Linked DNA regions of Notamacropus eugenii. Each later gene encodes a partner of the first gene's protein in a complex. Links are inferred from orthologs where the notes say so. Each region holds a gene or a part of one and is shown in the gene's direction. Other genes may lie near its edges.

Region 1 (7,633 bases):
AGGTATAATCTAATACCTCCAGTGGGCTGTATACAAAAAAACATATTTTATACATAAAATATAAAACTCCCCCAAAAGTAGAATTGGATGAGGTGGGCAAGAGAGAGGTATGACAGAAAGCTCATGTGCTGTACTGATATCCAAAGGTTGTCACATGTCCTGTCACCTCTAGCACAATGAAAAGATTCTCACTGTGGGGTTTGCAAGTGGTCATGGATAAGAACTGCAGACCAGAAAGCACAGATGGGTTGCGATCTCCAAGGCTGGAAGCAGTACCCTTATTGTATTAAAGTATATTACTCAGTGCTAATCTTTGAGTGCCATGTCCCCAGAGAACACACCTGCTTATCAATTGCTATTTCCCTATAATACTTTGAGAGAACTATCCCTCTCCTCTCTCAAACTCTGGACAACTCTGACATACCCTTCATGCAATGTGCATTTAGGGGTGGTGGAGGACATTGATCTCTGACAATGAGGAGAGAGTCCCATACCAATGAACTTTGGGACTTGGATTATATACGCACATGAGAATTAAGTAAGGCACAGCGTATTTAAGATTTTTATAGTGTTCTCAATCCTCTCTTTGGCTTTTCTACATTTTTAATAGCATCACTTCCTAATCTCCACTTTTAGTGGGGAACAGAAAGGCCTTCCTAGAAACTCAGCCTAACATCTCCCGCTATTCCGTGTCTCTATTTGAGACCAACCACTGAATAACTTTGGAATCTCAGGTTCAACTATTTAGCACTTCCAATTCTGCTCATTAACTGCATAGCTGATCCTGCGCTTCTTCAATCCTCAATCGACAGGTTTGGCTGTTTAACATGGAACACAGTTTTATTTGTGTAAATTCTTCTATCAGAAATTCTGAAGACAGATTAAGCCCTTGTAACTATTACATACAACTTTGCCTACACTCTTTTTTTGAGGGAGTACATCAGGAGAAGAGAAATTTGGGTTACCAGACTCCTCGGAAATATGTTACAAATTCAAGTTCAGGTAACATTCAAACATCTATTATGGAGATAATCTGTATTTAATTTCTAACAAAATGTGTTAAATTTACACAGAAAAGTAGAACACGAGGTTTCAGGAAGAAAACTGAATTTGCAATCTGAGAACCTCTGTTCGGATCCCAGGCTCTTAGCCTGCTGTATACTGGACTTTTCTTACACGTTAAGGGGTAGGGGGCAGAATGGAGAGGGCGCTTGACGTTCTTTCCCCTAAAGGCCCCTTTGAGCTTTGAAGCCTATCATTTGTGGAAGTTACACTTTTGGGTTTCAGGAGGTGTGTCCTTCACATGCCTAGAGTTTCTCCGTCCTCACAAATCCTCAGTCCCGAAGAGCCTCTCAGAGATACGTGAGCCAAGCATCCAGCTCAGGTAAAAGCCCCCTTCTACCCATTACCGTCACTCCTTCTCCCCAACCCATCCCAGACTCCCCACTGACTTTTCCATCTACTTACACCCATTAAACCACACGCTCTCTAAGTGCACGTTTCCATACGCACTTACGAGGGCAGGGGCACTTCAGTTCTTGTATGAACTGCTTTTTATATCAGGATGATACAACCTGAGTTATAATACTAGGAATCTGAGCAGCTGCCTGTAACACAGACAATGGTCTCTCCGCCGGGGTTTCAGGTGCCCTCTAGGGGGAACCCAATTGTTGAATTTACAGATACGCAGACATGTATAAAACTGCACAGTTCCATCCACACCGATACATACACAGCAGCGTACCAGTCAGCTTAACACACAAACAAGCAGACGGTCGGAGCAGGCCAAAAGATGCTTGGAGTGGGAGAGAAAGTGCCCATTACGGCGCGAGGGGTTTGGTCCTCTTACAATCACAACATACCACACGCAAGAAACAAACCATCAAAAATAACCTGCCCTCACACACTACCCTTTGATCTGAAGCTCCCAAGCCAACTACAGCTATAATTATCCCGGCTGCACCCAGGGCCCAAGGATATCCGGCACGACTCCGGCCCCTTCACGTGTTTGGGAGCCACTCACGGAACTGCAGCTATTTGTGATCACCCTGGGAGCGCACCGAGCTGCGGTGATCTCATTTCTCCCGGGTGTTTTCCGGGGCAGAGACCCTGAGCCCGAGCACAGCGCCCACAAGAACCTAAGACTAAAGGGGCAGAGGAGGGCCGAAGCGTCCAGGACAGCTCCCCGCGCCGCGCAGGGCAAGGAGTTACGCTCCTCGGGCCGTAAGGGTGCTGCGAGGCCGAGCGCCGCCCCCAGCTGTGCGGCAGGAGAGGGCGGGGTCACCCGTGCCCAGGCACGAAGAACTTCTGGGCCTTCGGAGTTACAAGTACGGAACATGAATTTCTCACTCCCCCTCCCCCGCACGCACACGCACACGCACGCACGCGCCTGCGCAGGCAGGGATCCAGGATTTAGGCCCAGAGGCAACTGGGCCCCCAGGCTGTTGAGACCTATGCGCCACTGGTCCCAACCATTACGTCGCGAATGCGTGAGTCTGCTCCACCCCTCAATATCTGCGGCTTTCAAACAGCCAAGGCAGAATTCACCCAACCCCGATCGTCCACCCAGGGGAGGTTCCGCCACGACCACAATCTAGCTCATTCCCCTCTGCCCAAGCCAGGGGACCAATCAGACTCAGCCAAAGTCTTGCGATAGGCCCAAGGCAGGTTCGGATTGGCCAACCTCAAGGAGTTCAGCCTCCCTCCCCTTCCCCTCTCCCCTCTCCAGCGCACAGCGGCCGTTGTCCAATAAGAAAGAGCATTATAGGTCTTTGCCCTCCCTCCTTCCCACCCCGCCTCGGTGAGACATGGGACGATTCGGGCTTGCTGGGATGTCCTCGGAAGCCCCCTTCCCTCAGCCAATCACTGAGTGATGTGGTTCAACCTCCCAGCGGAGTTTTTCAACCAATGACAAAGCGGCCGAGGCGCAGGGTCGCACACCTTCCTGGGGCTTTTAACCACGCTGGGCCTCTCCGCACTTTTCAGCGAGAGCAGGCGACTGGGAAGCCTTTGATTGGCCCTTTCTGCCTTTGACGAATTTCAGCCATTGCCTGTGACCTAACCAGGAAGCTTGGCTTTCCAACTCCTTCCTCCTCCTTCTCCTCCTCTTCCTCCGTCGGCAGTCTTCGGCTCCTTCCGTTGCCTCGGGGCGTGGGGGGTTGGGAAGGGAGGGTTGTTCAGCGGCCGCTTCCGATTGGCTCCTGCCGCCCCTCGGCTATTTCCGGAGGGAGCAGCGAACAGACGACGCTCTCTGATTGGCTGAGGTTGGCGTTCGGCCGAAGCGGGAGGGCGGTGTGCGAGGCTCAGACTTCGGCCGGCGATTCCCAGACGCCTGTTACGCGGGCGGTGGGGGCTCTGGGTAGTGTTGGACTGGGCTGGGCTAGGGAGGAGGAAGGCGGAGGAGGCGGAGGAGGCGGAGGTGAGAGGGGGGAGGAGGAGGAGCAGGCGAGGGGAGGGGGAGCTAGGCGGCTGCGCAGTAGGTGCTTCTCATACAGAGCAGCCCCCGACCCTGGTGAATGCGGGCAGGAGCCGCTGCTGCCCGGACCGAGTGACAAAGGAAGGAAGGAAGGAAGGAAGCAAGGAGGAGCCGGGGGCCCCCCTAAGCCGCTGTCAGGGCGCCGGGCTGGGGCCAAAGCGCGGACATTTCCCGAGTGGGCAGCGAGCGGACCTAGGGGGCGGGAGGGCAGCGACGGTGCCTTGGCCGGGGGAGGGGGCCCTCAAGGGACGGAAGCGGTTGCCGGGTTCCCATGTCCCCGGCGTATGGGGAGCAGCACAGGAGCCGCTGCTTGGGGTCTGAAGGGAGCTGCCGCCGCCGCCATGGCCGCTGGATCCAGCCACCGCCTGCAGCTGCCCCTGGCGCAATGAGGAGAGGAGCTGCCGCCGCCGCCCCCCGCCGCCTCTGACCGACTCCCCAGATCCGCCGCCTTCGAGCTCTCCGGGCCGGGCCGTGCCGTGCCGCGCTCGGCCGCGCCGACCGAGCGCTCCCTCCGCCCGTCGGCCGGATCCCGCCGCCGGATCCGCAGCATTTCCAGTCGCATCACCGAGCCACCCTCCCTGCCTCCCTCCTTCCTTCCCCCTTCCCATCCCCCTTTCTCTTCAAGCAAGAGACTCGTGATCCCTCCGCCGCTTCCCTTCTTCATTGACTCAAAAAAAAAAGATCCCCGAGGAGGAAAAAAAATAATATTCAAAGTACTGAAATTCCAATCAAGTAATTTCTCCCCTCCTCTTCCCTCCCCCCTCCATTTTAACAGATATTTTTCAGGTTTTTCTCCCTTCCCCCTCCGAAGGTGAGGGGGGAGAAGAATTGTGTTTTTTTCCCCAGCCCCAAATCATCTAGATACAAAAATCCATATCTCATCTGTCTTGGAGGAGGATACAAATCGATCGTTTGGTTTTATATAGCTACGTAAAAGAAGTGAAAGCCAAGAAGAAGAAAACATTTTTTTTTTTTTTGGTTTGTGTGTGTGAGCTTAATGCTGCATTTGTCATTAACTTACACCCCAAAATAAAACAAAAGGAAGAAAAGGAGGAAGAAGGTGATCGGGAGAAGAGAGATCATGTCAGGGCGGCCCAGAACCACCTCCTTTGCAGAGAGCTGCAAACCAGTGCAGCAGCCTTCAGCTTTTGGCAGCATGAAAGTTAGCAGTGAGTATTGATTTTTTTTTTTTTTTACCCCTTTACCCCTTCCCTTTAAAATAAAGACCTGGAAATGCCAGGATTAAAAAAATATAGATTAGAAACCAAAAAAATTCAACGGCCTGTGTAATGGAAAAAGGTGAAAGTAGTCACTATTCAAAGGTGAAGCACCTCCCTGTCTGCTTCCATACCTTCCCCCCATCGTCTCATTAACCTTGAATTGACAGAATGTGATTTTTATTTGGATGTTTTAGTTTGCAAGTTTGTTTTTCCCCCCTATCTAGCATGACTTCGAATATATTTACGAATGGTCTTCCTAAGCAACTGCTTAAAGAATCTATAGGAAATTAGAGAGCTAAGTAATCAATCATCTTTTTAAGTAAGGAAAAACAGAAAAAGATATATTGCTTAAAACAAGGCAATATAAAAGTTGAAGCGTGGATGTCTTTTTTTGAATGAGAAGAGATGTTTAGGAAGCTCAGACCTAAGTATGGTTATCTTGGTTTTATGCTTTTAATAAAGACAAATATTTAACATTTATTTTTTGGATATGTAAAATAATAGCTGGTACTCGGAAGGGTCAGCTTGTGCCATGATGAGGTTTTAAATTTGGAGGTTATTCATTTCTGCCTTAAAAATAATGGGCTTGTGGCACCACACTATACAGCAGCAGTGCTGCATATGTTGTAAGTTGACTAATTGGTTTTAATATGTCATCCTATATCTTTTGGCTGTGACGTTAGAAATTTAATGAGGAGTTATTGAGATCTGTGTTTTAATTAAAAAGTTTCACGTTTCAGTTTGACTTTTGTGATTTAGAATTTTAATGTCAATTTCAGCATGCTAACAGTTACACTTCAGTTGTTGCCAATTAAAACTATCATTTTTATTCATTTGGAGGGGTACTGTTGTAAATGGCTTTATTAAAGTCCTAAATTAAAGTGTAATTTAAAGGACTATTTAAAATGTCTGTATTGTGATTTCTTTTTGTACCTGAAAAAAGCTTTAGCAATTTTATTTTATACATTTACAAATGTTGATGTCACTCTTGGATTGACAGATGCACCAGTTTACTCTGAATTAACTCATATTTTCAGAAACTGTATTTTTCTCTGAAATTTTTTTTTCAATTCATCTGGAGCTTTGAAAAGATCAGACAACTGAGTAAATAAGTCCTTTCTTTCATAGCTTCTGGAGTAGAGATGAATACGTTAAGAATGTACGCAATTTGTTGTCAAACTGTCTTTTTTAATCTATTTCTTTACACCAAAAATTAATAGTTTATTACTGTTATTGCCATATGTCCAACAATTTCAGTTCATCTTCATTTGTGCTTTTTGAAAATGTGTGAGCTTGGAACAGTGTTTATAATATTTAATGTTTAAAATGTTTTTTATCTTATTGAAATGCACTTCTAGAGTTTGACCAATTGTAATCTCTTTATTCCTGAAGTGAGATGCAGCAAGAGAGAGATGAAGTAAGGTTCCATAGAATTTCTTTTTTGTTCTTGAGTCAAAGACTTCCTGGTTAGAAAGAAAAGAAATCTCAATACAGGTTACTTTTCTGAAAAATTGGTTAAATTACTTATCTTTACCAAATGGTATTCAGCCCTTACACTGATATCAGTGTTCAGGGCTATACTGGACCATCTTGACTTTGAACTTCTATTTGATGTATGCCTGCATCAATGTTGATATTAAATAGTGAAGTTAAAGGTAGTGACTGGCAGTTTTTTTATTTTGGAAAGTATAATCAGGCTTTTGTTTTTTTGGTCTTTAGCCAACTAAAATTCTAGGGATGGGGAGAGAAGCAAACTATGCATTACTCTGTGGAAGGGCAAACCATCATAAGTACATTAAGGGTGAGATGAGATGAATATTTAAAATTCTGCTGTAATCTTCAGCTGTGATGAAGCAAGTCTTAAAATAGTGTAGGAATCTCTCCTGAGTTATTGGAATGTGTCTTTTTCATAATAGAAATCTGGAGTAATAGTTCTTTGAGACCCATTAACATTCATTAGTTACAGCTAAGAAAGCAAAGCAATTTTACCTGTCTTCAAACTTTTTTTGTTGGAAGAATTTATTTGCTTTTAAAGTGGCTATATTTGACGTATCTGATGAGAGCAGCATTGCTGAATGATGTGTTTAAATTTTGACTGGTAAATTAGTATTATTTTAATAAATAATATAGTATATTAAATTGAATCTGTAAACTCATCTTTTATGGGCATAGATTGCCATAATAAGTGGAAATTTAATGTCAAATATAATCATGCCTCTGACTTTGAATTTAGGGATATTTTTGAGGAAATAAGGATAATTTAACATTTAATCAGTATTTGCTATGGAGAGTCCTGCACAAATAGGGCTACTTGAGACCATTTTTCTGGGGAAACAAACATAAAATCATCTATTAAAATGGTGTGGGTGATATAATCAAATTGAATGCTTGGGTGCCAAGGGGACTTAACATTAAAGAATGATCAAAGGAAGAGTTAATCCGGGAAAACTGCTTGAAGAAGGTAAATTTCAAGTCAGAATTTGATGGAGGCAGAGTAGTAGATTGGGGTGAGCCATATGTAGCTGACTGTCAAATTACTTAATATCTAAAATAAGAGTAATAGTACTGATACTACTTCATAGGGTTGTTTCAAGGAAAAAAAGCTTTGTATAAATGAAATTACATAGAAATGTTTGCAGTTATTATTGCTGTATGGAAAGAAAGAATGTATTCTAGTTGGGAGAATTAGAGTGATTAAACCACAAAGGAAGGAGTTAGTATGTGACTTAGTAGGCATCAGAGACATTGGCTAAAAAGAGATGAAGGAGGAAAGCCACAGGGAAGGCAGTTGACAAATTCAAATTTATCTCTATTTTTTTTTGATAAGTAAAAGGTAGCTTCTGTGGATTTTATTGAATTGACATGTAGAATGGGGAACATGATGTTTGAAGAAGCTAAATATGACATTTATCTTTAGAATGGATTGGAGTAGAGTGAG
Region 2 (7,680 bases), on another chromosome or scaffold:
ATTTCCTGCTTTTAAAGTAGGGTTATTGCCACTTGGTCCAGTTGATGCTGTGCCACCAACTCTACTTTGCCACCAAGAATTTCTAGTGTCTGATGCTTGTCCTTGCATCCATCAACCATTTTTCACTGATTTTTCTGATGCATTTACTGAGTCACCTAGGTCTTTTGTGCCATGTACATAGTCATAGATTGTTATGTAAGTACCAGCTTCTGAGAACAGTGTGTCTGGTCTACCTGCTCTTATTCTTCAGATTTTTTTTGGCTTCTACTACTTCTGCTTGTGAGTCTTCATTAAAGTTAGGTGTTATTCTTAGTGCCTTGCCTAGTTTTCTGTTATATTGAATGTTTCTTCTTAGACTGACTGCATCTGCTTTGAATTTCTACTGTACTGAATACCAACTATCTTCTGTTCTTACCATTTCTATTGGTATGCTGTTTTCAAATGTGAGAAACATGTTTCCATAATGAGGAATCTCCATTTTTCCTGTAAAGCCTGTTGTGGCAGTTGCGTTATAAAAGTCATTAAATCTGTTAAAGAAGTAGCCAAATTGTTCTAACTGGTTCGTTTGCCAAGGTTTGTAACCTAATGTGCTCAGTAATGTTCCCTCACAAGACAAAGTAAATATGTTATTGGAATCCTCTGCAATTAGCATGGTTGCTGTGAGGTCATTGGTGTACTGAGTTTGTGGTGGAGTTGTTGTTATTTCTATGACTGTCTTTATGCTAGTGTTGAATATTTCTTGTTTTAGGTCAATTAATTCTATGGTTTTGCATATCCAAGCCATGTGTGCAAAGTCTGCTGGACTCATCCATACTCCCCATGCATTTGTATCTAACAGGAACCACCATGCTAGTATTTGTGCATGTTGGTAGTCAATCCAACCATCATAGGCAGTTTGTCCTGCAACTGTTTTAGGTTTTGAGATCTGTAGTATGTATTCTTGATTTTCTGCCTCTTTTAGGATGATATGTCTAGATGCACTGCATGTTATTTGTAACCCATTCCCCTTCAAATTTCCATTCAGTTGTGTTATTATAATTTCCTGTGGACCTCCCAACCCATCCCCCCATCTCCTCCCATGGTTCTTTTGCCTGGTTCTTCTGTTAACATGGATGAGTCCACTTCTGATGAGTCTTGTGAGTCACTCATATTTTCTTTTGCTGACCAACTAAATACTCTTCTTTTTTTGGCTAAGTTTATGAAAACATGTTTTGGAATTGGTCTTTTTTTACTTACAGTTAGTTGGTTTTTTGCTTTTTGTTTGGTGGTGCCAGTTCTGGTGCTATTGCCTTCTTCAATTTAAATGCCTTGTTTGCAATCTAGCCTCCCCAGTCTTTTGTGTGTTCTGTCTGCTAGATAAATTTAGCATCAGCTTTGCTGAAGTAGAAGGAAGGGTTATTGCCCAATTGTTGCATAAGATGATAGTGCTCATCATGTTCCTTGGTAGCTTGAACACTTGGATTGGTTGGTTGTTCCTGGTCAAGAGTATTCCAGGTTCAACGTATTTGTACCCTGGCAGGGTATATCCTGTAAGTCAGAGTTACATATTAGTTGATGGTTGATGCTCTTGGCAAGTAGCATGATATGAGTTCTTTGACTTACCTTGTCTTGGTCAGTTGATGTTTGGCATTTACATATTGTCCTGTTCCATTTCTGATGTAAGCCACTAGTAATCAAGGTCCCAGATGAAAGGTTGTCTCCCCTGAGAAGGTAATTTCTCCTTGTTCTTGACCTTGATCACTTGATATATTGGTTGATGAGCTGGCATCTGATTTTTCAGTATGTTGTGCAGTGGAATTAGAGGCTGATTTGACTCTTTTCTGCCAATGCCTGTTCAAGAATTCCCAGCCGATGAGCCTAGTTTCTGTGGAGTCTTCTGCTTTGTTGTCTGTTTTTATATCTTCTTCTGACTCCTCTCAGTTTCTGTTCACATAGGCACATCATTCCAGTGATCTATGTATGACCTTATAGTTGGATAGAAGCCCTCATCTTTAAGAGTTTTGAATATATTTGCAATTTCCTTTGAATCAATTATACAAAACCTACCATCCAGAGTTTTGGTTAGCTTTCTGTCAACACATATGTGTTTTATTGGCTCTGAGTGCTCAGGTCTAATTTCACATTCAATTCTGACACAAGTAATATCTTCATTTGATGTCATTATGACTGGATCTAGTTCAATTGATTTACTACCTTTTCCTTTCTGATCTAGTCTTATGCTCTGTCCTGCCATTATGGCTTTAAATTGGTTTACTTCTTGTCCCAGGTTACCAACTTCTTCTATCCAAATTATGTTTTTGTTGTAGTAGTCACTGAAAGGAAAGTTAACATTGGATGGATTGTAGCATCCAACACTATCAACTAGCTCAGTATTTTTTGTGCAATGAGACTCTTTCCTGTGCTTGCTGGACCTTGAAGTAGAATGGTATTTCTTTTGCCTCGCTGCTTATTTAATGCACGTATTATAGCACGTGTGACTTCCTTGGGGTTCTAATTAGTCTGAATATCTTGAATAGTTTTGTGTTTTCTAAGTCTCTGATTGTCTTTCCCTTTTCTATGATTAGGTCATATGCTGTCATGTATTTATTCATTCTTAGTAGTACCATTTCCATAACTGTCAATAATTATTTCACCTCCTGGATTTGCTATTTGTTCTGTGTAACTCTCTGGCTCATCTATCATTTATCGCTCTACGCTTATAACTCTCCTGTCATATAGACTACATATGGCTGATGTCATTGTCTGTTCTTTTTTAGTTTTTTCTATTTTAATTTTTTTGAGCTATGGTTCTGTAACTTCTGACTTGACTGGTTGACTTTCTTTTTCTAATTCTTTTAACATCATATTTCCTGACTTTCATTATTGTTTCAAGATGAGTATTTTATTTTTGATCCTCATGGTCAGACCCATATTTTGGCAATATCAATTTAGCAGTTGTATGGAGAAAGGAATGATGTGGAGGGGAAAGATCCGAAGCAAGGATGTCAATTAAGGAGCTTATTATATTAGTGGAGACTAGAAGTGATGAAGACCTGAACCAGGATAGGGGAGAAAAGGGACGTTATCTTTTATCCCTAACTGCATGATACAGCTGAGTTTTCTTGGCAAAGGTCCTGGAGTGATTTACCATTTCCTTCTTTAGCTTATTTTACAGATGAAGAAACTGAGGAAACAAGGTTAAGTGACTTGCCCAGGGTCACACAGCTAGTAAGTGCCCATGAGGCCAGATTTAAACGAAGGAAGATGATGAATCTTCCTGATTCCAAGACCAATGCTCTTTCCAAATTCAAATCCTAAATCCAACCCAACTGTAATCTTACCCCTCCCCCCAAAAGATCATTGGATTTGAAGCTGGGGGGCCTGCGTGCAGCCCCTGACAGGTCACTTGGGCTCTCTGGACCTTAGTTTACCCTTCCACATAGTGGGGGGCTGAAATGCTGGGAAACGACCTTCTCCGCCTCCTAAAAGTCTCTCCCGACCCTCCTTCATCTTTGGTCCCGCGGTCCTCAGGTTACTCCCAGACATTCTCATCGCTCCACACCCCGATCGTGGCGACGACCTCCAAGGGAGCCTCTCAGCAGACAGACGCGGGTCTGGAGCCCGGGGCGGGCTGACCGCCGCAGGAATAACTGAGGCCCGACTCCCCGCCCCCCGCACGCCTCCCCGCTCCTGCTCGCCGCCCCTCGGCCCGCAGGAACCCTGCCCTCGCTCTGGCCGGGGCCAAGCTCGCCTCCAGATGCCCGCCGTCTGGTCCCCCGGGGCGTGGGGACAGCAGGTGGCACAGTGACCACCGGCCCCACGCTGCCCCCTTTCCTTCCCTCGGCTCTGCCGGCCTCCTTCTCCCGCCTCGTCCCTTCCTCCGCCCAACACCCCGAATTTCCCCTCCTCCACTTTACGCAAAAACCCCAAACCCAGAGGCAGCCATCCCACCCCTGAGCCCGCGACCCCCACGAGAGGCCGAGGGAAGGAGCCGGGCGAGTCCAAGCTGAGTGGGCACGAGGTGGCGGCGCGTGTCTGGGTCTGCGCTGGAGCTGCCCAGGTTCGCGCCCGCGAGGGCTCCATCGCCCCGGGCCAGGCGGGCGCAGCACACGCACGGCCCCGCATCGGCGCCCGGCCCAGCTCCCGCCGCGCGCCCTCCCGGGCCTCTCCGGGCCGCCCCGCTCGACCCTCCCCGCGCCCCCCCGCCCCGCGGCAGTGGTAGCGCCCGAACGCCCCGCGTCACCCATTGTTTACAAATCGAACTGAACCGGCTGAGCTCCAGTTCCCGGAGCGGCGGCGGCGGCGGCGGCGGCTGCAGCGCTCGGGGCCCCGCACGCGGCCGGCTCGGGGCGAGAGCGCGGCGCCTGGTCTTCGGGAGCCGTCCCCGGGGCCGGGCCGGGAGCGGGGAGCGAGGAGCGGCCCCAGCGGCGGCGGCGGAGCTGCGGAGCCCGGGCTGCGGAGCGAGGCCATGCCGTGCCGGAGGGAGGAGGAGGACGAGGACGACGAGGCGGCGGCGGCCGGAGAGGAGGAGGAGGAGGAGGACGCCGCGGGGGAGGGGGAGGAGGAGGAGAGCTTCCTGGTGCTGCGGCAGTCGGTGACCGTCGGGGGCTCGGGGGACGTGGACCGGCTGGTGGCCCAGATCGGAGAGGCGCTGCAGCTGGACGCGGCGCACGGGAGCCGGGCCGCCCCCCGGGGGCCGCCGGTCCTGCAGCTGCTGCTGCCTCCGGGGCCGGCCCCGGCGCCCCCGCAGCCTCCGGGGCCGCCGCAGTGCGCGGGCAGCGGGGCCCGCGCCGCCCTGTGCTGGGCGAGCGAGGGGGGCGCCGCGTCGCAGCCCCCGGCGCGGGCGCCGCCGGGCCCCTGCGTGGCGGGGGGGGCCCCGGGCCGGAGCGGCGCCTGTGGCCCGCACGTCTGCAAGCGGGGCTTCCCGCAGCCGCTGCCGGGCCCGTGCCGACGCGCCTGGCTTCGGGGCGCCGCCGCCTCCCGGCGCCTGCAGCAGCAGCAGCCCCAGCACCGGTCCCGAGGGCCGCCGGGCCTCCGTGCGGGAGACGACGACCCCCACCAGCTTCTGCAGCAGCTTGTCCTCTCGGGGAACCTCATCAAGGAGGCCGTGCGGCGACTGCATTCCCGGCGCCCTAGGCAGCACCCTGGGGCTAGGGCCCCCTTGCCCCCAGCGCCCGGCCCCGCTCCACCGTGGCCCCTGGCTGTTCGGGAGGCTGAGGCAGAAGGGACTCTAGCTCACTGTAGTCCTCGGCGACCAGCCTGCTCCAACCCCGAGGGCCTCCGGAGCCAGCTGGTGCCCAGACGTGCAGATGGCATCTTGGTCCCCAGCAGCTAGTGAGCCCAGCGCGTTCAAGGGCAAGAAGAAGGCAGGGGAAGAACCCGAAAGCCTAAGGCCTGGAGACTTGACATGAATGAACTTGGAGTGGGGAACGGGGGTTCGAAGGCAAAGGGGAAAGATGGGGGAACTTTTTTCGAGGTTCTGGAGTGGGGAAGGGTGATGTAGAGGCTGTGGACTTGGGTGGTTTGTGGGGGGTTGGGCCGAGAATTAGAACCCCTGATCTAATTAGGATGAATAGATCCTGTGTATTGACAGACTGCACTACTGACCTAAGAGCGTCAGTAGAAGATCCTCTTTTTCACTTGTCATGAGTGGTGCTGACTTGCACTGAGCCATCCACAGCACCTTAGCCTGGTTGCCATGTGACCAACAGCACACCTTTTTCAGGATTCCTTAACTGGCCACCTCTACGGGTGCCTTTGGAACAGAGTTGTTGTTTTTTCCTCTGTGCAATATTAACTGGCCTTTTAATAGGAGTTGCACCTTCCATCTTGGCCTCCTTCGCACATGTTCTATCCTACTGAGCTAACCATGAACTCAGAACAGAGAATTATTCCAGTTACCTGCTTTGACTTGACCCAGTTTGTTTTCACTACTGGTAGTTTTCTTTGACTCATGTTTTTTGCGGGGGGAGGGGAGAGGGTGGAGTGGGAATGGAGAGAAGGATTTGAGAGCAGGGAGAAGAAATGCAGTGACTTCACCTGACTGAAAACTTGATAGCATTTTCCAGACTAGATTTAGTTCTGAGTTGTGGGTTCCTACTGCTAGAACACAATCAACTTCATTAAATGTGAGAAGAAGGAACTTGAGTAAAGCTTGGGTGGGGTGGCTTAAAGTGATTACCTGCCAACCTCCTACTTCTACCCTTACATTGCAACAGCCTGATGTTTCTAAGGCTTAACTGAGGAATACTCCCACCAGGTCATGGTAGGGAATGAGAAGGGGAAGGATTTGTTCCTGGGGAAGGAAGAATTCTTGGCTCCACAGTCTGCCTGTCTAGAGGGGCTTTCGAAAATTGGTCCTTGCAGGATTCTGGTTTTCCACACATGGTGCTGTGTCTTTCTGGGCAAGGGAGTAACTGTATATTCAGCACCTTCTCCAAGGGAGTCCTGTGTTTTGAAACTGTTAAGAGTCTCCTGGGGACATACACTTTGTTCTACTGGTTGGGAGGGAAAACTGTGTGCATGTGTGTGTAAACATGTGCACATGTCCACAGGCTTGTGTGTTGACCCTTCTTGGGCCTTTTTTGACCAGGGAGGAAGATGCCTTAGTACCTGTCATAATACTGCAGGTCACTAAGGTTTCCTTTCTTTCCAGGATGTTCTTCCTTTCTTGTTTATACTTTAGCAGGTTCTGAGTAGGGGTCCCGGCATCAAGGGAAAGAGGCCCATTTAAATGTGTTTGTCTCTGAGGCTTTTTGTGGTATCTCCTGCAACATCTCTGAATGAAAGGGGATTTGTTTTCTCCTCTCTCCATCTCATCCCTCACTTTTTTGAGTGAATTCAGTATTCTGAAAATGTTGCCCTCTATGTAGAAGATCGGCAAACATTTTCCTTTACAGTGGCTCCAATCTTTGTTGTTATTTGAAATTTCAATGGCTTGGTCATCATCCAGATGTGGCTGTTGATGTATGTGGATGTGTGCCTGTACATATCCTCACACACATACACTTCGCAGCGGAGTGTCTGAAATTGTGGTGGTCCTGATTTACAGGATTCTAACTTTACTGAAGTATCTATGTTAAATAAAGTTGGTTTTTTTATTTTCTGTCTTCCTTTGTGCCAAAGGCAGCCTAACCAGCAGATTTCCATGGGGATGAAAACACGTCAGCATGGATTATGTGTGACAGCCTGTGTTCCTCAGCATTCTGTAAAAGGATGGGATAAATGCATCCTGTAACTACTTTTAGGGCTAGCTCAATATTAAGATCAAATCCTAGGAACTCCCTACCCCCATTTATTAAAACAACACACAGTAATAAGAGACTGAAATATCATTCAAATCCGCTTCAACCATGCACTTTAAGTACACTGGTAATAGACATCTGACACTTTTGGAGACAGGTTTTGTTCCCCCACCCAAGAGGCAGAGGTGGTGAGGGTTTTCCTCCCCCCCTCCCCCCACCTTTCTGGTTATTAACATCCTCCAATATGTCTTTTCATTCTAACCATTAACCTGGGACAGATATGGTTAATGTGTGGGTGCCAGGCTCAGATTGAGTAAGCCATTTTGAAATACGTTAAAGGACACATTAATCTCATTTCTCATATTCTTGGCCCCAAACACCAAAGCACAGGTACTCTGTCAAGCTTATGTTCTGAAGCACTCTGTGCCATTTTAAAAGTAGGCACCTTCAGAGGCAT

What was found. The genes of interacting proteins can lie anywhere in the genome.
Region 2: the proteins of GSK3B (region 1) and FRAT1 are in contact, whole or in part, in a crystal structure (PDB 5OY4), measured with the Homo sapiens proteins. The link is inferred for Notamacropus eugenii from reciprocal best matches to the Homo sapiens genes GSK3B and FRAT1. Residues at the interface, in NP_001139628.1 of Homo sapiens: Tyr216, Ile228, Phe229, Ser261, Gly262, Val263, Asp264, Leu266, Val267, Ile270, Lys271, Thr275, Pro276, Ile281, Tyr288, Thr289, Glu290, Phe291, Lys292, Phe293, Pro294, Ile296; in NP_005470.2 of Homo sapiens: His200, Leu202, Leu203, Leu206, Val207, Ser209, Gly210, Asn211, Leu212, Ile213, Lys214, Glu215, Ala216, Val217, Arg219, Leu220, His221.

What each region holds. Positions count from the first base shown.
Region 1 is NC_092876.1:345,958,556-345,966,188, forward strand, and holds the start of GSK3B (glycogen synthase kinase-3 beta), read left to right. Parts: upstream 1-4,518; 5' UTR 4,519-4,556; coding exon 4,557-4,644; intron 4,645-7,633. UniProt on the Homo sapiens protein: Constitutively active protein kinase that acts as a negative regulator in the hormonal control of glucose homeostasis, Wnt signaling and regulation of transcription factors and microtubules, by phosphorylating and inactivating glycogen synthase (GYS1 or GYS2), EIF2B, CTNNB1/beta-catenin, APC, AXIN1, DPYSL2/CRMP2, JUN, NFATC1/NFATC, MAPT/TAU and MACF1.
Region 2 is NC_092872.1:214,099,361-214,107,040, forward strand, and holds FRAT1 (proto-oncogene FRAT1), read left to right. Parts: upstream 1-4,303; 5' UTR 4,304-4,447; coding exon 4,448-5,314; 3' UTR 5,315-7,079; downstream 7,080-7,680. UniProt on the Homo sapiens protein: Positively regulates the Wnt signaling pathway by stabilizing beta-catenin through the association with GSK-3. May play a role in tumor progression and collaborate with PIM1 and MYC in lymphomagenesis.